Saccharomyces cerevisiae S288C: one gene and its partners. The protein of the gene in region 1 interacts with the protein of each later gene in a biochemical or structural test. Each region holds a gene or a part of one and is shown in the gene's direction. Other genes may lie near its edges. The genes, in order: RFA2, RFA1, DNA2 and HFM1.

What was found.
Region 2: the proteins of RFA2 (region 1) and RFA1 form a complex in vitro, tested with the Saccharomyces cerevisiae proteins (2 studies listed by BioGRID).
Region 3: the proteins of RFA2 (region 1) and DNA2 form a complex in vitro, tested with the Saccharomyces cerevisiae proteins (one study listed by BioGRID).
Region 4: the proteins of RFA2 (region 1) and HFM1 form a complex in vitro, tested with the Saccharomyces cerevisiae proteins (one study listed by BioGRID).

What each region holds. Positions count from the first base shown.
Region 1 is NC_001146.8:46,667-49,733, forward strand, and holds RFA2 (Rfa2p), read left to right. Parts: upstream 1-1,620; coding exon 1,621-1,627; intron 1,628-1,735; coding exon 1,736-2,550; downstream 2,551-3,067. Other genes in the region: tetratricopeptide repeat-containing protein EMW1, read right to left, coding at 1-1,356; putative SCF ubiquitin ligase complex subunit SKP2, read right to left, coding at 2,731-3,067. UniProt on the Saccharomyces cerevisiae protein: Binds to single-stranded sequences participating in DNA replication in addition to those mediating transcriptional repression (URS1) and activation (CAR1). Stimulates the activity of a cognate strand exchange protein (SEP1).
Region 2 is NC_001133.9:156,254-160,455, reverse strand, and holds RFA1 (replication factor A subunit protein RFA1), read left to right. Parts: upstream 1-1,836; coding exon 1,837-3,702; downstream 3,703-4,202. Other genes in the region: tRNA splicing endonuclease subunit SEN34, read right to left, coding at 663-1,490; COMPASS subunit protein SWD1, read right to left, coding at 4,171-4,202. UniProt on the Saccharomyces cerevisiae protein: As part of the replication protein A (RPA/RP-A), a single-stranded DNA-binding heterotrimeric complex, may play an essential role in DNA replication, recombination and repair.
Region 3 is NC_001140.6:424,056-431,032, reverse strand, and holds DNA2 (bifunctional ATP-dependent DNA helicase/ssDNA endodeoxyribonuclease DNA2), read left to right. Parts: upstream 1-1,854; coding exon 1,855-6,423; downstream 6,424-6,977. Other genes in the region: U4/U6-U5 snRNP complex subunit PRP8, read left to right, coding at 1-1,326; 6-phosphogluconolactonase SOL3, read right to left, coding at 6,560-6,977. UniProt on the Saccharomyces cerevisiae protein: Key enzyme involved in DNA replication and DNA repair.
Region 4 is NC_001139.9:27,397-33,361, reverse strand, and holds HFM1 (DNA helicase), read left to right. Parts: upstream 1-1,725; coding exon 1,726-1,783; intron 1,784-1,935; coding exon 1,936-5,441; downstream 5,442-5,965. Other genes in the region: ZIP2 (Zip2p), read right to left, coding at 1-264; RMR1 (Rmr1p), read right to left, coding at 727-1,452; RTG2 (Rtg2p), read left to right, coding at 5,878-5,965. UniProt on the Saccharomyces cerevisiae protein: DNA-dependent ATPase and 3'-5' DNA helicase. Required in the control of double strand break transition and crossover during meiosis. ATPase is slightly better stimulated by single-stranded (ss) than double-stranded (ds)DNA.

The sequences.
Region 1 (3,067 bases):
CCTTTCCCATAATGATCGGGCGAAAATAGACCAATTTTTGTCACCGTTTTGATATAATATTCTAGAAAGCAAAGCAGTAAGTTCTTCTTCCACAAGAGGATCCTTGGCCGGAGTTGTGTTCTTTATGGTGTAAAGACGTAACAGCAACTGGATGTTGTCGTAATCAGATAGGGTAGGTTGATCGTTAGGGTTCAAATCCAGCAACAACTTTGGAATATTTTCTTGACGTAGTGCCAATGGCAATAGTTTATCTTCTTCATAACCTTCATTTAGGTCTACCTTTTGTCTTTTACTATAAATTTGCTCGTCTAGAGGTTCATCAGCAATGGACTCAAAATGAGGCTTCTCCAATAATAGATCGGACTCTAAAGCAAATGTTTCTGGTGTAGCAGATGTCGTTCTCAAAGCAAAATTTTGAAATGTGAAGGATTTGGCAAGAATGATCAAACCGGCATGAGCCTTTTGCTGATATTTAGTTCTAGTAGCGCGTGCACCCGTCATTACAAATTCAAAATTTGTTATCTTTTTCGCTCTGGTCAAGGATGGCAGGCACAAATGTTCTGTGTTGATGGCCAATGAACATTTGACATTCTCTAGATAGTACATTGCACAAAGTTCTCTTTTGAAATCTTCGTGAATACTCTCCGGTAATTCCTTAGTTATCGCATATGCAAGGTCAGCAGACTGATATATTGCAGATGCAACACTAGCTTGGAACCCAGAAGGTTCTGGAATCAGTGACAATTGCGTCAAAAGAGCTCTTGCCCACCACCAATAAGCTACAGCTAATAATCCAGGAGTAGACTCAGCAGAGATAATAGGTAGCGGAATTTCTTGATCCGGGGTAACATCAAATAAGCTTTTTTGGCCGGTTATCCTTTCAAGTAATAATAGTGATAAAACCAAATACAATGGATCATCCATAAATTCGTAGGCAGGCTGGCCCATAATGGCTAATGAGCGGGAAAGGGCTGTATTAACTGCTCCTATTTCAATTCCAGTTTTGCCAAACAAACCTGAGATTGCTTTCAACCTAGCTGCTGGGCCGGTGTAGTTATTTTGAATAAAGGTCTGTAAGAGGGCAATAGCCAAAAATAGCATCTCATTTTCTTGGCCCATTTTGAAAACCTCAACGTTAAGAAAGTCATTTAGAGCAGCAATAACACTAGATGTGGATATTTCTCCCGAAATACTAATTTTTCCCTTAAATTTGTCCACAAATTGCTGTACTAGCTGGTATGATTCACCACTGATGATATGTTCAGCCTTTTTCACATATGTCTGGTCGAAAGAACCACTTTTCAGAGATTCTACTTCTGCAGACAGCAATAATTTTGCATGCAATAACGTCTCCATAATTTTGCAACCACTAGTTTACTTTTTGCCTGGTCTGATAGCTTCTTTTTAGCAATTCCTTTGGCCTCGATGAGCTTCCATTTTCAATTTTCATCTTTTTTTTCACGATGCGAAGTTTCTTAGATAATTATCGCCATATACGAAACGCGTTAGGAAACGCGTTCTTTCCTTTATAATAAGCAATATTATATCAACTTAAGGTGGAAGTAATGTGGCAAAATCGATAGCGACTATCTAGAACAGGCTAGTTTAAGCATATACATAATGGCAAGTATGTATTAGTGCTAGGAATTGGAGGATTTGCTCTTTTCTGCATCATTTTTTTTATTTTTATTGGCGAATGTTAAAATTACTAACAATGGATGGGATTCCAATACAGCCTATCAACCATATAACGAATATTCATCAGTAACGGGCGGTGGCTTTGAGAACTCTGAGTCCCGCCCAGGTAGTGGGGAGTCGGAAACTAACACTAGAGTTAACACCTTGACACCTGTGACGATCAAACAAATTCTAGAGTCCAAACAGGATATTCAGGACGGCCCCTTCGTTTCGCATAACCAAGAACTTCATCACGTTTGTTTTGTAGGTGTGGTGAGAAACATTACAGACCATACTGCAAATATTTTTTTAACTATTGAGGATGGAACTGGTCAAATAGAAGTGAGAAAATGGAGCGAAGATGCAAATGACTTGGCTGCCGGTAACGATGACTCTTCTGGTAAAGGTTATGGTTCGCAAGTCGCCCAACAATTTGAAATTGGCGGTTACGTAAAAGTTTTTGGTGCTTTGAAAGAGTTTGGTGGTAAGAAAAATATACAGTATGCGGTGATTAAGCCCATAGATTCATTCAATGAAGTGTTGACGCATCACTTGGAAGTCATCAAATGTCATTCCATAGCCAGTGGAATGATGAAACAACCTTTGGAGAGTGCATCCAACAACAATGGGCAATCATTATTTGTCAAGGATGATAACGATACATCTTCCGGCTCCAGTCCGTTACAAAGAATTCTAGAATTTTGTAAGAAGCAATGTGAGGGCAAAGACGCTAATTCATTCGCTGTTCCCATTCCATTGATCTCGCAATCCTTGAATTTGGATGAAACTACCGTCAGAAACTGCTGTACGACCTTGACTGACCAGGGTTTTATCTACCCAACTTTTGATGACAATAACTTCTTTGCCCTATGAAAATATATAGATTATTTTTTTAGCATTTCTTAGTATTCGTTTGTGTATTTCTACTAGGTAAGTACCAAAATTTGCCGGAAATAGAGTGGAAAATGGAACCCGTTCCAAGAAGGGGTAAGATGCATGAATATTAAGTTGGTTGCATAAATATGCTATATAAAGTCCACTACAAAAAGTCATTTATTTTTGCCCGTAAGAATAAAGAACGAATCCGTCCTTATCTCTGACTTCAATGGGAACATTTACACGCAGTACGGGCTTCAATAATAGTTCCCAGTCGTATCTGGTTCTAGGTGTACATAATGAAAAATGTCTCAGCATTCTTATTTTGACAGCTTTGAATTTTGACAAATTTCTCAGGAAACACCAGAGGTTAATATTTGGAATATCTTTAAAATTCTCTGGATCTTGGAAATCATTGAAAAAATTTTCCAATGTCACATTTTGTAAGAACTCCTCCACATCTAAATCTCTATATTCGATGGTTCGGTTCTTCAATTTGATTAAACTATCTCTT
Region 2 (4,202 bases), on another chromosome or scaffold:
CTGAAACGCAAGGATTGATAATGTAATAGGATCAATGAATATAAACATATAAAACGGAATGAGGAATAATCGTAATATTAGTATGTAGAAATATAGATTCCATTTTGAGGATTCCTATATCCTCGAGGAGAACTTCTAGTATATTCTGTATACCTAATATTATAGCCTTTATCAACAATGGAATCCCAACAATTATCTCAACATTCACCCATTTCTCAGAACCAACTATCTTCGATCAATTTGTATTAAAACTGCTAGCATATTATCATATATGATGTAAAAAGACGACATAAAGGTCGAGTAACAATCATCCGATATAACGGAAGCTGAAATCCGAGGATCGATAATATAGCATAATTACTTGTATGAACGATGCTAAAATATTTGTTCCTTCACATCTACACGTGGAAGTAAATGAACTGGATGTCAACAGTTTAGAAGAGCTTTTTTTTCGGTTCTGGTAAACATTCAATAAACTGTTTTGCTCCCACTAAATATAAATAAACATAATTATATGTCTAGTGATAAACAACTACTTTCCCGCTGAATGCATCAAAATATCAATGCAAATTTAAAAATTGTATTACACATATGTATGCTTCTGAAAAACCTTATAAATACATAAATTCTGAGAAAATAATTATACATGACTGATTCCCAGCTTAACCAAATCCAGCCCATTCTATTGAGAAGAAATGAGTTTCCTTTGTCTCTTCCGCAACACCGCCTATGACCCAAAGTTTTTTCACAGTCGTTCCTAGTCTTGCACCACTTATCATGGATATTAGGTCAATCGGCTCATTATGATAATCAATCGCATCTTGTATCGTCAGATGTGAATGGAAACGAAGAGGATCACCAGGGTATGCTATAAACTTCCCACCAAAACGTCCACCTGGGGACAAAACGTACCCTTGATCTCTCAATGCCTTGTATAAGAAATAGGTCTGCATTTTTCCTGCCTGTCTGTACTGCTTAAATAACAAATCACTGATATCATCGCGGGATAAGCTGTCTGAATCACTCCGTATGTCTCTTAAAATCATAGAGGTATTAGCAATGTCAATGAACAAAGAAGATTCAATTAGCTGGTCATTATTGCTAGATTTATCAAGCCGTTGCAATTCTTCAGCTGTGGTTTTATCATTGATTCTACCGATTTTCTTTAATTTTGCAATGTGTTCATCCTTTTTGAACTTTCTCTGATATTCAAATGACTTGTTCAAACGATCGTTGACAATTTTAGATAGTTTGGCGCCCCGCTCTAATGTTATTCCCTCCATAATCTCATCTCCCTCTTGTCTTATTAATTTCACATCGGCAAGATTGTTCAAATGCAGCCACAGCACATCTTCTAACATAAGCCTCAAAGGTACCGACAAAAATACATTTTGCTGTGCTGCAGTAGGCAAAGTTCCAGATAACACACCACAAATACCCCATTTCCTTAGAAGTTTGATGTGATCTATGTCAAATACTAGCGGTGGCATAAAAACCTCCTCGCCTTTTGCCGTTCTTTTTGCATATATGTTAATAGCTATGCGCGTACCACCTTCTTCAGCCATATACGAAAGGATCTATGCTAATTGGGTGGATTTCTTATCGCATCACTTTCTTATTCTCTAACTCTTCTTCGCTGCTCAATAAAATATCTCTGCTTGGAAAAATGTCACGCGTAAAAATTAGACGAGGCGACAAAAGACGCGTGAACTAACATAAAGGTTTACTTGAACAAATGTTATCACTTTAAGTTCTACACGTAAAACAAAAACTATTCACTCTTCTTATTACGGTAAAGGCGAAACCAGCAAGAAGACCAGATTATACTTACAAGAGATGAGCAGTGTTCAACTTTCGAGGGGCGATTTTCATAGCATCTTCACCAATAAGCAAAGGTACGATAATCCCACCGGTGGCGTTTATCAAGTTTATAACACCAGGAAATCTGATGGGGCTAACAGCAACAGAAAGAATTTGATCATGATTTCCGATGGTATTTACCATATGAAGGCTCTGTTGAGAAACCAAGCTGCATCCAAGTTCCAGTCAATGGAACTACAAAGGGGTGATATCATTCGCGTGATAATTGCAGAACCTGCTATTGTCAGGGAAAGAAAGAAATACGTTCTTTTAGTAGATGACTTTGAGTTGGTCCAGTCGCGTGCTGATATGGTCAACCAAACTAGTACTTTTTTGGATAACTATTTCTCAGAGCATCCAAATGAAACCTTAAAAGACGAAGATATAACTGACAGTGGTAATGTTGCCAATCAAACAAACGCCAGCAATGCTGGTGTCCCTGATATGCTGCATTCAAACTCAAACTTGAATGCAAATGAGAGAAAATTCGCCAATGAAAACCCTAATTCGCAAAAAACCAGACCAATTTTTGCCATCGAACAACTGTCTCCATACCAAAACGTTTGGACTATCAAAGCAAGAGTTTCCTACAAGGGAGAAATTAAAACGTGGCACAATCAAAGAGGTGATGGTAAACTATTCAATGTCAACTTCTTGGATACCTCTGGAGAAATCCGAGCCACGGCGTTTAATGATTTTGCTACAAAATTTAACGAAATTTTACAAGAAGGCAAAGTATACTATGTATCAAAGGCAAAACTCCAACCAGCTAAGCCCCAATTTACTAATCTAACACACCCTTATGAACTGAATTTGGATAGAGACACTGTTATAGAAGAATGTTTCGATGAAAGTAATGTTCCGAAAACCCATTTCAATTTCATCAAACTAGATGCTATTCAGAACCAGGAAGTAAATTCCAACGTAGACGTCCTCGGTATTATCCAAACTATAAACCCACATTTTGAGCTAACTTCAAGGGCTGGGAAGAAATTCGATCGTCGTGACATCACAATTGTTGACGACTCTGGGTTTTCTATCTCTGTTGGCCTATGGAATCAGCAAGCCCTTGATTTCAACCTTCCTGAAGGTTCTGTTGCTGCCATTAAAGGTGTTCGTGTGACGGATTTTGGTGGCAAATCTTTGTCTATGGGATTTTCTAGTACCCTGATTCCGAATCCAGAAATTCCTGAGGCATATGCCTTAAAGGGTTGGTATGATTCCAAGGGCCGCAACGCAAACTTCATCACTTTAAAGCAAGAACCCGGTATGGGTGGTCAATCGGCTGCTAGCTTAACAAAATTCATTGCTCAGCGTATTACTATTGCTAGAGCTCAAGCTGAAAATCTAGGAAGAAGCGAGAAAGGTGACTTTTTTAGTGTTAAAGCTGCTATAAGTTTCTTAAAAGTTGATAATTTTGCATATCCTGCCTGTTCTAATGAGAATTGTAATAAGAAAGTTCTGGAACAGCCTGATGGTACTTGGAGATGTGAGAAGTGCGACACCAATAATGCAAGGCCAAATTGGAGATACATCTTGACAATATCAATTATTGACGAAACCAATCAACTATGGCTCACTTTATTTGACGACCAAGCTAAACAATTATTGGGTGTTGATGCTAATACATTAATGTCTTTGAAGGAAGAAGACCCCAACGAATTCACAAAAATTACTCAAAGTATCCAAATGAACGAATATGACTTTAGGATTAGAGCGCGTGAGGATACATACAATGATCAAAGCAGAATTAGATATACCGTTGCTAACCTACACAGCTTGAATTACAGGGCTGAAGCCGACTATCTTGCCGATGAGTTATCCAAGGCTTTGTTAGCTTAATGTATCAAATAATCAAGTACTATTTAATCTATGTAACATATGAGAAATGTAAAAAAAAAACTTCTATTTCGTCAAGTTTTTGAAGGGCGGTTCAGCATCTCTTGATGACTGGATATGAAACTACACGTTCAGTCATATGAATTTGAACCCATAATGCACAAATGAATAAAAATGCTAACAAATTCTAATTAATGGCATGGTACTAACACCCAACAATTTACCGCCCTTTAGGTGTACAGCTTCAAATAACAAAGCTTTACAAATTCACCTTCAACATTTACGTTCAGTAGTATGAAATTACCATCATGACGTGCTCCTATCAAAGTGAGATTATTGCACTTCGTATTATTAGGAAATTACCAAAAAATGCAAAATTTTTCAATTCTGTGTCAAAGAAATCGCGGTAGGCATGACTATACCTCTTCAGTGTCAGTTGCCTATTTAAACTTTCTCCTTTTGAAGAGAAACCTATGATGACTGCATCTTAATTATCCTCGTAT
Region 3 (6,977 bases), on another chromosome or scaffold:
AAACTTTCTGATGTTGTGATGAAAGCTACTGAACCTCAGATGGTTCTGTTTAACATTTATGATGATTGGTTAGACCGTATTTCATCGTACACTGCATTTTCTAGACTTACACTACTTTTAAGAGCTTTAAAGACGAACGAGGAAAGTGCCAAAATGATTCTACTCAGTGACCCCACGATCACTATCAAATCGTACCATTTATGGCCTTCATTCACTGATGAACAATGGATCACTATCGAATCTCAAATGAGAGATTTGATTTTGACTGAGTACGGCAGAAAATACAATGTCAATATATCTGCCTTAACTCAAACGGAAATTAAAGATATTATATTGGGTCAAAATATCAAGGCACCATCTGTGAAGAGACAAAAAATGGCTGAATTAGAAGCTGCCAGGTCAGAAAAGCAGAACGACGAAGAAGCTGCAGGTGCATCAACTGTTATGAAAACTAAAACTATCAATGCGCAAGGTGAGGAGATAGTTGTAGTAGCTTCCGCTGATTACGAAAGTCAAACGTTTAGTTCAAAGAATGAATGGAGAAAATCTGCAATTGCTAATACACTATTATATTTGAGGTTAAAAAACATTTATGTTTCGGCTGATGATTTCGTGGAGGAACAGAATGTTTACGTCCTTCCAAAAAATTTATTAAAGAAGTTTATTGAGATATCCGATGTGAAAATCCAGGTGGCGGCCTTTATTTATGGTATGTCAGCAAAAGATCATCCGAAGGTGAAAGAAATCAAGACTGTTGTGCTGGTACCTCAATTAGGCCACGTAGGATCCGTTCAGATAAGCAACATCCCTGACATCGGAGACCTTCCGGATACTGAAGGCCTTGAACTACTCGGTTGGATCCATACCCAGACAGAAGAACTTAAATTCATGGCTGCGTCTGAAGTAGCAACTCATTCTAAACTTTTTGCGGATAAGAAAAGAGACTGCATTGATATTTCAATTTTTTCCACCCCGGGATCAGTATCATTAAGCGCTTATAACCTGACCGACGAAGGTTACCAATGGGGTGAAGAAAATAAGGATATAATGAACGTGCTATCGGAAGGGTTTGAGCCTACTTTCAGCACGCATGCCCAATTACTTCTCTCTGACCGTATCACAGGTAATTTTATAATTCCATCTGGAAACGTTTGGAACTACACATTTATGGGAACAGCATTTAACCAAGAAGGTGACTACAATTTTAAATACGGCATTCCTTTGGAATTCTATAATGAGATGCATCGTCCAGTACACTTTTTACAGTTTAGCGAATTGGCGGGGGACGAAGAGTTAGAGGCCGAACAAATCGATGTATTTAGCTGAATATATTCCCCAATAAACTGGAATCTGTTATTTCATAGATATATATGTAAGTATAAGTTTGTATGTATAATATTCAACGCATTTTTTATGCCCGTCGTAGTTGCTACCTACCACACGATGATGTATTATAATTTCGGAACTACTTCAAAGCTACGCTTTCCGCACTATGAAAAGCTATAAGTATGTGAAAATTGGTCATTGACTGTGATTCTATTTCAAAAAGTAACCAAAGGAGATAGACATCGTTCGGACAGAAAATGGTCCGTTGTCACTCCCATTCCATTATGTCCTTCATATAGAAATTGGATATTCTTGTTTTCATTTCGCGCAATAAAGCAATTCCGTGCGGCAGAAAGAACTTATATATATTTAACTGATCTTACGCTATTTATGGCAAAACTTGTGTTACATTTTTGAAGATAAAGTTACAATCATTACGGCAGCCTCAAAACAAAATTGGGAGAAAACATACTCAAGTGAGTACTCATTTTGTGCAAGCAAACACTGACAATTGAAGAGATCGTCAGGATGCCCGGAACGCCACAGAAGAACAAGAGGTCTGCGAGTATATCTGTTTCACCTGCGAAGAAGACAGAGGAAAAAGAAATAATACAAAATGATTCAAAGGCGATATTATCTAAGCAAACTAAGAGGAAAAAAAAGTATGCTTTTGCTCCTATAAATAACTTAAATGGGAAGAACACCAAGGTATCCAATGCAAGTGTCCTAAAGTCAATAGCCGTTTCACAAGTACGAAATACATCAAGAACAAAAGATATAAACAAAGCAGTTAGCAAGAGCGTAAAGCAATTACCAAATTCACAAGTTAAACCGAAACGGGAAATGTCTAATTTGAGTAGGCATCACGATTTCACTCAAGACGAGGACGGCCCCATGGAAGAAGTAATATGGAAATATTCACCTTTACAACGAGATATGTCCGACAAAACAACAAGCGCTGCCGAATACTCTGATGACTACGAAGATGTCCAAAATCCCTCTTCTACACCTATAGTCCCTAATCGACTGAAAACTGTTCTTAGTTTCACAAATATCCAAGTACCCAACGCTGACGTAAATCAACTCATTCAAGAAAATGGAAATGAGCAAGTGCGTCCTAAACCAGCAGAAATATCTACCAGGGAGTCTCTCCGTAATATAGATGATATTCTCGATGATATAGAGGGCGATTTAACTATAAAACCGACGATAACGAAATTCAGCGATTTGCCATCTTCACCCATCAAGGCACCCAACGTTGAAAAAAAAGCAGAGGTGAATGCAGAAGAAGTAGATAAAATGGATTCAACAGGAGATAGCAACGATGGCGATGACTCTTTGATAGATATTTTAACTCAAAAGTATGTTGAGAAACGCAAGAGTGAGAGTCAGATAACAATTCAAGGCAACACCAATCAAAAAAGTGGAGCCCAGGAAAGTTGTGGGAAGAATGATAACACAAAATCGAGAGGAGAAATTGAAGATCATGAAAATGTAGACAATCAAGCCAAAACAGGCAATGCATTTTATGAGAATGAAGAAGACAGTAATTGCCAAAGAATTAAAAAAAATGAAAAAATAGAATACAATTCTTCAGACGAATTTTCAGACGATTCACTAATTGAACTATTGAACGAAACTCAAACACAAGTGGAACCTAACACTATTGAACAAGATTTAGACAAAGTGGAGAAAATGGTCTCTGACGATTTGAGAATTGCTACTGATTCCACTTTATCCGCATATGCTCTCAGAGCTAAGTCTGGTGCTCCAAGAGACGGCGTAGTACGATTAGTAATAGTAAGCTTACGTAGTGTTGAATTGCCAAAAATTGGAACGCAAAAAATACTAGAGTGTATAGACGGCAAAGGCGAACAAAGTTCTGTTGTCGTTCGACATCCTTGGGTATATTTGGAATTTGAGGTTGGGGATGTAATACATATTATAGAAGGGAAAAATATTGAAAACAAACGGCTTCTTTCTGACGACAAAAACCCTAAAACTCAACTGGCTAACGACAACCTGTTGGTGCTAAACCCTGATGTATTATTTTCGGCAACATCAGTCGGAAGTTCAGTAGGTTGTTTAAGACGTTCAATTCTGCAAATGCAATTTCAAGATCCCCGCGGAGAACCAAGCCTTGTCATGACTTTAGGCAATATCGTACACGAGTTATTGCAAGACTCAATCAAATACAAGCTCTCGCATAATAAAATTTCTATGGAAATCATAATACAAAAGCTGGATTCTTTGTTAGAAACTTATTCTTTTTCAATTATCATTTGTAATGAAGAAATCCAGTACGTTAAAGAATTAGTTATGAAAGAACATGCTGAAAACATTTTGTACTTCGTCAATAAATTTGTTTCGAAAAGTAACTATGGTTGCTACACATCAATTTCCGGAACAAGAAGAACACAGCCAATTTCTATATCCAATGTGATTGATATTGAAGAAAACATTTGGTCTCCAATATATGGTCTTAAAGGGTTCCTAGATGCAACTGTTGAAGCTAATGTTGAAAACAATAAAAAACACATCGTTCCTTTAGAAGTGAAAACTGGAAAATCCAGAAGCGTTTCATACGAGGTTCAAGGCCTTATTTATACACTTCTGTTAAATGATCGCTATGAGATACCGATAGAGTTTTTTCTTCTTTATTTTACGAGGGATAAAAATATGACAAAGTTCCCTTCTGTTCTGCACTCCATTAAACATATTCTCATGTCCCGAAATAGAATGAGTATGAATTTTAAGCATCAACTCCAAGAGGTTTTCGGACAGGCTCAATCAAGGTTTGAATTACCACCCTTACTGCGCGATTCATCTTGTGATTCATGTTTCATCAAAGAATCATGCATGGTGTTGAATAAGCTACTAGAGGACGGGACACCAGAAGAAAGTGGCCTGGTAGAAGGTGAGTTTGAAATTTTGACAAACCATTTGTCGCAAAATCTCGCCAACTACAAAGAGTTTTTTACAAAATATAATGATCTAATAACTAAGGAGGAGTCAAGTATAACATGTGTAAATAAAGAACTTTTCTTATTGGATGGTTCCACAAGAGAATCCAGAAGTGGAAGGTGCCTTTCTGGCTTGGTTGTGTCAGAGGTGGTTGAACATGAAAAAACAGAGGGAGCGTATATATATTGCTTCTCAAGACGTAGAAATGATAATAACTCGCAGTCGATGTTATCATCTCAAATTGCTGCTAATGACTTTGTTATTATTAGTGATGAGGAGGGTCATTTTTGCTTGTGCCAAGGTCGTGTACAATTTATAAATCCCGCTAAAATTGGTATCTCCGTAAAACGAAAGTTATTAAACAATAGGCTTCTAGATAAGGAAAAAGGAGTCACTACCATCCAAAGTGTGGTCGAATCAGAGCTAGAACAATCCAGTCTCATAGCTACCCAAAATTTGGTCACATATAGAATCGACAAAAATGATATCCAACAGAGTTTGTCTTTAGCGCGATTTAATCTTTTAAGCTTGTTTTTACCAGCTGTTTCACCTGGCGTGGATATTGTTGACGAAAGGAGTAAATTATGTCGGAAGACAAAGAGATCTGATGGAGGTAATGAAATACTGCGATCACTTTTAGTTGATAATAGAGCACCTAAGTTTAGAGATGCAAATGATGATCCCGTCATTCCGTATAAGCTTTCAAAGGATACAACATTGAACTTGAATCAAAAAGAAGCAATAGACAAAGTAATGAGGGCCGAAGATTATGCATTGATATTGGGAATGCCAGGGACTGGTAAGACTACTGTTATCGCAGAAATTATTAAAATTCTCGTTTCCGAGGGGAAACGCGTGCTTTTGACATCATACACACATTCAGCAGTGGATAATATTTTAATAAAATTGAGGAACACCAACATTAGCATAATGAGATTGGGAATGAAACATAAGGTCCATCCTGACACGCAAAAATATGTCCCGAATTACGCGTCAGTGAAAAGTTATAACGATTATTTGTCCAAAATTAACAGCACCTCTGTTGTTGCTACCACCTGCTTAGGAATTAACGATATACTATTTACACTAAATGAAAAGGATTTTGATTATGTGATTTTGGACGAGGCAAGTCAAATTTCAATGCCTGTCGCTTTGGGACCTCTGCGGTATGGAAATAGGTTTATTATGGTAGGAGATCATTACCAGCTACCGCCATTAGTTAAAAATGACGCAGCTCGATTAGGTGGGTTAGAAGAGTCACTGTTCAAGACTTTCTGTGAAAAGCATCCGGAAAGCGTTGCAGAACTGACTTTACAGTACCGTATGTGCGGCGATATTGTAACTTTGTCTAATTTCCTAATTTATGATAATAAATTAAAATGCGGGAATAACGAAGTTTTTGCTCAATCTTTAGAGTTACCAATGCCTGAGGCCTTGTCGCGCTATAGGAATGAATCGGCTAACTCTAAGCAGTGGCTTGAGGATATACTAGAGCCTACAAGAAAAGTGGTATTTTTAAATTACGATAACTGCCCGGATATTATCGAACAAAGCGAAAAGGATAACATTACGAATCACGGGGAGGCAGAATTGACTCTACAATGTGTGGAAGGAATGTTATTGAGCGGCGTACCATGCGAAGATATTGGTGTAATGACGTTATACAGAGCACAGTTAAGATTACTGAAGAAGATATTCAACAAAAATGTGTATGACGGGCTAGAGATCTTGACTGCTGATCAGTTTCAAGGTCGTGACAAAAAGTGCATTATTATTTCCATGGTTAGAAGAAATTCTCAATTAAATGGAGGAGCGCTGCTGAAAGAGCTAAGAAGAGTCAATGTTGCCATGACAAGGGCCAAATCCAAGCTGATCATTATAGGTTCAAAAAGTACAATCGGCTCTGTTCCTGAAATAAAATCGTTCGTGAACCTGTTAGAAGAGCGTAATTGGGTCTATACAATGTGCAAGGATGCACTCTACAAATACAAATTTCCCGACAGATCAAACGCTATTGATGAGGCACGCAAAGGTTGTGGAAAAAGAACAGGTGCCAAACCCATCACATCAAAGTCTAAATTCGTAAGCGATAAACCTATCATAAAGGAAATTCTACAAGAGTATGAAAGTTGACAGGGGGAATAAGAAGAGCTTCTCCATAACAGGAAAGCTATCACAGCATAAAATATCTATGTCATTTTATAAAGTTTGGTATATATAACACGTAATATTAGCATCTGAGGTTCGAAAGCTCGCATGTGTGTCTTTTCTAAAAAGTTTTCGTTTGAACTTTTCCAAAAGCTTCCTCATTAACGAACCAGGATGTTTTTTCACCAAATAATTTGTTAACCAATGCGGTTGGCAATTGATCGTTTTTCAAGTCAAAGATCTCATGCATTATATTTTGTTTGGAACTGCCCTCAGCCACAAAACACAGGGCTTTGGCGTCTTTCAACACAGGCAGAGTGAAGGTGATTCTGTCACTTGGAGGCTTGGGAGAATCGTGGCACCAAGCAACTCTTTTGGTTGTTTCGTTCAGCAAGTACCTATGTGTTTCTCCAGGGAATAAGGAACAAGTGTGTCCATCAGGACCACAGCCCAACAGTACCAAATCAAGCACTTGAGGTACGATACGCTCGTACTCTGCAGCAATTTTGTTGTTAGATTCAGCATCGCTGCCAATCAAG
Region 4 (5,965 bases), on another chromosome or scaffold:
TTTGCCAACGGCTACATCTATTTTTTGTCTTCCAGAGGTGATGTGAATTACCTCCAAAAAATACTCTTCACCATTGATCGTGCCGCAGTTTTCATACCCTCCGATTTTCAGTGGTTTAAGTTGCAAATTTCTTAGCTCTTTCAAATATTTTTGTGCTCGTCTTCCCAGTTTGATGTTTTCTTTTAAGTTTCCTGACAGAACAGAATAGCCGCCCACATTTTGGTTACATTTAGATAACTTTACTTCCCAACGTTCAATAATCATAGTATTTTTGTAATATGATCTATTTCTCTAAATTGATTCAATTACTCGAGCTCGTTAACAATGGTGTGGCACTATTGAGTGATTTTCTTCTCCTGAAACATATTTTATGCTTGTATTTTACATATCCTAACAGAAAATACTTTCAGCAATTCTTCCGAAAGTAAAACTTGAAAAAAATTGAAGAAAATGACGAAAAAACAATACAAAACAATAATACAATTCGCTACAAAAAAGGGGGAAGGGCTATCAGAAATCGAATATGGACCTTTGCATCATCCAAAATTAATGAATACTTAACTGCTGACTATACAAACGAAAAAGAAGGCGACCTTAAATATTACACAGAGCCAATAATTTATTCGCGGGAGAAGATTCTCAAAAGGAATCCGTGACTGGGAAATCAGAAACTCACCGTTGGACATCAGGATTTCCCACGATCAGTGCTGATTAAACATGGCTACTTTAGTCTTCAGAATCCTCACCTACGTCATCATCTATGTCCATTACAATGACTTCTGAAGTATTCTGGTGTGTATATTGGTCATTGTCATCCACAATTAAGGGATGCGTTTCATCGTTAGAAAATGGCTTTATGTTTTTCAACGTAGCTGAGCTTTCAGTTAATTCAACCAAGGCGTTGTACCGAGAGACAAATCTTGGCCTTGTACTTAATTCAATAGCCAAGTGCGTCGGTATATCAGTTTCAAAATTAGACTCCGATCTTTCCTTCAGGATTTTAAATATAGTATAAACATCGCTGAATGAAATATGGTTGTTGTAGACATTATCTTCGAACAAGGTCAAATCGAGGCTTTTCAGTTGTAAAACCAACTCCTTCGTAGCAAAAGCCAACCTGCCAAAACGATTTCCCATAAATTTACGAATGGATTCCATGAATTCCCCCATGGGTCGCTGATAAAGAGCAGCGTTTTCACATATTATGGGGTTGTTACTTTCGTTCTTATCATCCGACGTGAACAACAGAAATGTAGTATCTTTATATTCCACGGTGACTTTGGGCAATTCGCTTTTCATTAAAGTCTCTGCCACGTTGCGTATACGGGCGTCCGATGGTTGTTCCTCCACGAGTTCATCATCATACTCCAAAAGGTCTTCTTCATCGCCCTCATCCAATTGAACCCCGACGTCATCCACCTCCACTGTTTTATGCGCTTCTTCTTCACTCATCTTTGATTCCATTGATACCAACAAAAACAATCTTTAACTACGTATCTTTTCCTTTACGTATATATAATTAATCATATATACTTCCCTTTTTTATGCCTTGTTGTAGTTTTAACATATCATGTACCACGAATGGATGCAGGCTCGGCGGGTATTTAGACTTTGCCCCGGATTATAAACAAAACGGGACTATTAGTATCATCTATCAAGAAATCCTTTCATTGAAAATGATTGATACCTCAAGGTGGATTTGACAACTTAAGAGGCGTCGTAAGGATGAAAACAAAGTTTGATCGCCTCGGTACAGGAAAAAGAAGTAGACCCTCTCCAAATAGTAGTAACGAAGCTTAGCAACACCCTTATCAGTTTACACCATATCGGACAACAACAGTATTTTGACTAACATTGTTACCTCTTTCTTTTATTATCTAGCGGAAATGCAACCAAAAGTGGTTTTTCTGGACTAGAATTTCAGAGGACTTATAGATATTGACTTTAACGACCAGTCTGCTACATTTAAAAGAAATAAGAAAAATAGCCGCCAACCAAGTTTTAAAGTAGGTTTGTCTTATAACAGTTTACTGGATGATTGTGATGATGAAAATGAAACAGAGGAAATATTTGAGGGCCGTGGTCTGCAATTCTTCGACAAAGACGATAATTTTTCAATAACAGCAGATGATACACAAGTAACTAGTAAATTATTTGATCACGATTTAGAGCAGACACCTGATGAAGAGGCGAAGAAACCTAAGAAGGTCACGATAAGGAAATCAGCGAAGAAATGTTTGAGCACGACCATATTACCAGATTCATTCAGAGGGGTTTTTAAATTTACAGAATTTAATAAAATGCAATCAGAGGCTTTTCCTAGTATTTATGAGAGTAACGAGAACTGCATAATTTCTTCACCAACCGGATCAGGCAAGACTGTATTATTTGAATTGGCAATATTACGTCTTATAAAGGAAACAAATAGTGATACCAATAACACCAAAATTATATACATCGCGCCAACCAAATCTCTATGTTACGAGATGTACAAGAACTGGTTTCCTTCCTTTGTGAATCTTTCTGTTGGTATGCTTACTAGTGATACCTCTTTTCTGGAAACTGAAAAGGCTAAAAAATGTAACATAATAATTACGACACCAGAAAAATGGGATTTGTTAACAAGAAGATGGTCCGATTACAGCCGATTATTCGAATTGGTCAAACTTGTCCTAGTTGATGAGATTCATACCATAAAGGAGAAAAGAGGAGCATCTTTGGAAGTAATTCTGACAAGGATGAATACAATGTGTCAAAACATTCGGTTTGTTGCTTTAAGTGCAACAGTTCCAAATATAGAAGACCTAGCATTGTGGCTCAAAACTAACAACGAGCTTCCTGCAAATATTCTTTCTTTTGACGAATCGTACAGGCAAGTTCAGTTAACGAAGTTTGTTTATGGGTACTCCTTCAATTGCAAAAATGACTTCCAAAAAGATGCTATATATAATTCCAAATTGATTGAAATAATTGAAAAGCATGCCGATAATCGTCCCGTACTAATATTTTGTCCGACTAGGGCTTCAACTATATCAACAGCAAAATTTTTATTAAATAATCATATTTTTTCAAAAAGTAAGAAAAGATGTAATCATAATCCCTCCGATAAAATATTAAATGAATGTATGCAACAAGGTATCGCTTTCCATCATGCTGGAATTTCTTTAGAAGACCGTACTGCCGTTGAGAAAGAATTTCTTGCAGGTTCAATTAATATATTGTGTTCAACTTCAACGTTAGCTGTTGGTGTGAACCTTCCCGCATATTTGGTCATTATCAAAGGCACCAAAAGTTGGAACTCTTCTGAAATCCAAGAGTATTCAGACCTAGATGTACTGCAAATGATTGGGCGGGCAGGAAGACCTCAATTTGAAACTCACGGGTGCGCAGTAATCATGACAGACTCTAAAATGAAGCAAACATATGAAAACTTAATTCATGGAACTGACGTTTTGGAAAGTTCATTACATTTGAATTTGATCGAGCATTTAGCAGCAGAAACCTCTTTGGAAACTGTATATTCAATTGAAACTGCAGTAAATTGGCTACGAAACACATTCTTTTACGTTAGATTTGGGAAGAATCCAGCTGCATATCAAGAGGTGAACAGATACGTTAGTTTTCATTCCGTTGAAGACTCTCAGATAAATCAATTCTGTCAGTATTTGCTTGACACCTTAGTAAAAGTGAAAATAATCGATATCAGCAATGGGGAGTACAAATCTACAGCGTACGGAAATGCAATGACGCGACATTATATATCCTTTGAGTCGATGAAACAATTCATTAACGCAAAAAAATTTCTATCATTACAAGGGATACTAAATTTACTGGCCACTTCTGAAGAGTTTTCAGTTATGAGGGTGAGGCACAATGAAAAAAAATTGTTCAAAGAAATCAATTTATCGCCACTTTTGAAATATCCATTTTTAACCGAGAAGAAACAGAGCCAAATAATTGACAGGGTTAGTCAAAAGGTTTCTCTTTTGATTCAATATGAGTTAGGTGGGTTAGAATTTCCATCATACGAAGGCGCTTCTAAACTACATCAAACTCTTGTTCAGGATAAATTCCTCGTTTTTAGACATTGTTTTAGATTACTAAAATGCATGGTAGACACATTTATTGAAAAAAGTGATGGAACATCACTGAAAAATACTTTGTTCTTACTGCGAAGCCTGAATGGTCACTGCTGGGAAAACACGCCAATGGTTCTTAGGCAATTGAAAACAATTGGACTAGTTTCAGTAAGAAGGCTAATACGACATGGAATTACCAATCTAGAAGAAATGGGGCATTTGTCAGATACTCAGATTGAATACTATCTTAACCTCAAGATTGGAAACGGCATAAAAATTAAAAACGACATTTCTTTGTTGCCTTGTCTGAATATTAGAACAAAACTAGAAAATTGCAAAATAGAAAATGAAGAGTTGTGGTTGACATTTAAAGTTGAGATTAGTGCAACATTCAAGTCTAGCATTTGGCATGGTCAGCACCTCTCATTAGATATCGAAACCGAGAAAAGCTCAGGAGAGTTAATCGACTTTAGAAGATTGCAAGTTAACAAACTACAGTCACCAAGGGGCTTTAGAATTTCAGCAAAAATATCACCAAAACTAGAAAAAATAGAATTCTCAATTCATTGCCAAGAAATCGCCGGACTCGGCAAAACAATCGTATATTCCACTGATCATTTGGCATCACAGTTCTCTGCGAAGACACCAAATATAAGGAAAGATCTAAATAGTTTAGAAAAATGCCTCTTCTATGAAAGCAGTAGTGACGGAGAAGTGGGGAAAACGTCTAGGGTTTCCCATAAAGATGGATTAGAAGAATCGCTATCCTCAGATGATAGTATACTAGATTATTTGAATGAAAGGAAGAAATCATCAAAGGCGGTTGAATCTGCAGCAGTTATTCACCCGGAGGCACACTCTTCTTCACATTTTAGTAATGGCCGCCAAGTAAGATCTAATGGCAATTACGAGTGTTTTCATAGCTGCAAAGACAAAACGCAATGCAGACATTTATGTTGTAAAGAGGGTATTCCAGTAAAGTATATAAAAGAAAAAGGACCCTCCTCAATCAAGCCAGTATCAAAACCTGATCAAATACGCCAGCCACTGCTTGCAAAAAATATCAACACAACCCCTCACCTGGAAAAAAGACTGAATAGTAAACCAAAGCAGTGGCAAGAAGAAAATACAGATATTGCGACAGTTCATACACTTCCTTCAAAAATTTATAATCTATCGCAACAGATGTCGTCTATGGAAGCGGGTGAACAAGTCCTAAAATCAGGCCCCGAAAACTGCCCTGAAATAATTCCTATTGATCTTGAATCATCCGATAGTTATTCTAGTAATACAGCGGCGAGCTCAATAAGTGATCCGAATGGTGATCTGGATTTCTTGGGTTCCGATATAGAGTTTGAATGAGCGGCATGGCCGGGAACAATAGACATTACTGATATTCATTACCCCAATCCTTTCTGTTATTTGTATTGCTTCCCAACAGAAGTTAGCATGTGTGAGAGTTTACTTATAATGCTTTGTTTTTAAAATGCAGCCAGTGGTGAAACAATTGGAACCTTTACTATTTATTAGGGAACAAGATGACATTGTCAATTGATATATTACTATTGTTACATATCGTGCTATTTATCATTTCAATTATTAGTCACATGACCGCGATAAGCGATCCGGGTCAGAATGCCGAGATAGGATAACTTTGCCGGCGGAGTTCCTAGATCAATTGAAAGAATCGAAGTGAGATTAGTAATTCATTCATATGTACCTTTTAAAAAAGAAACTCACTCTTGGAAGTGTCCTTTACTAAGGATTGTTTTGAACGAAAAGTGTAGGCGTGCCACAAATGTCAACACTTAGCGATAGTGATACCGAGACTGAGGTCGTGTCGAGAAACTTGTGTGGAATCGTCGACATAGGTTCTAATGGTATTC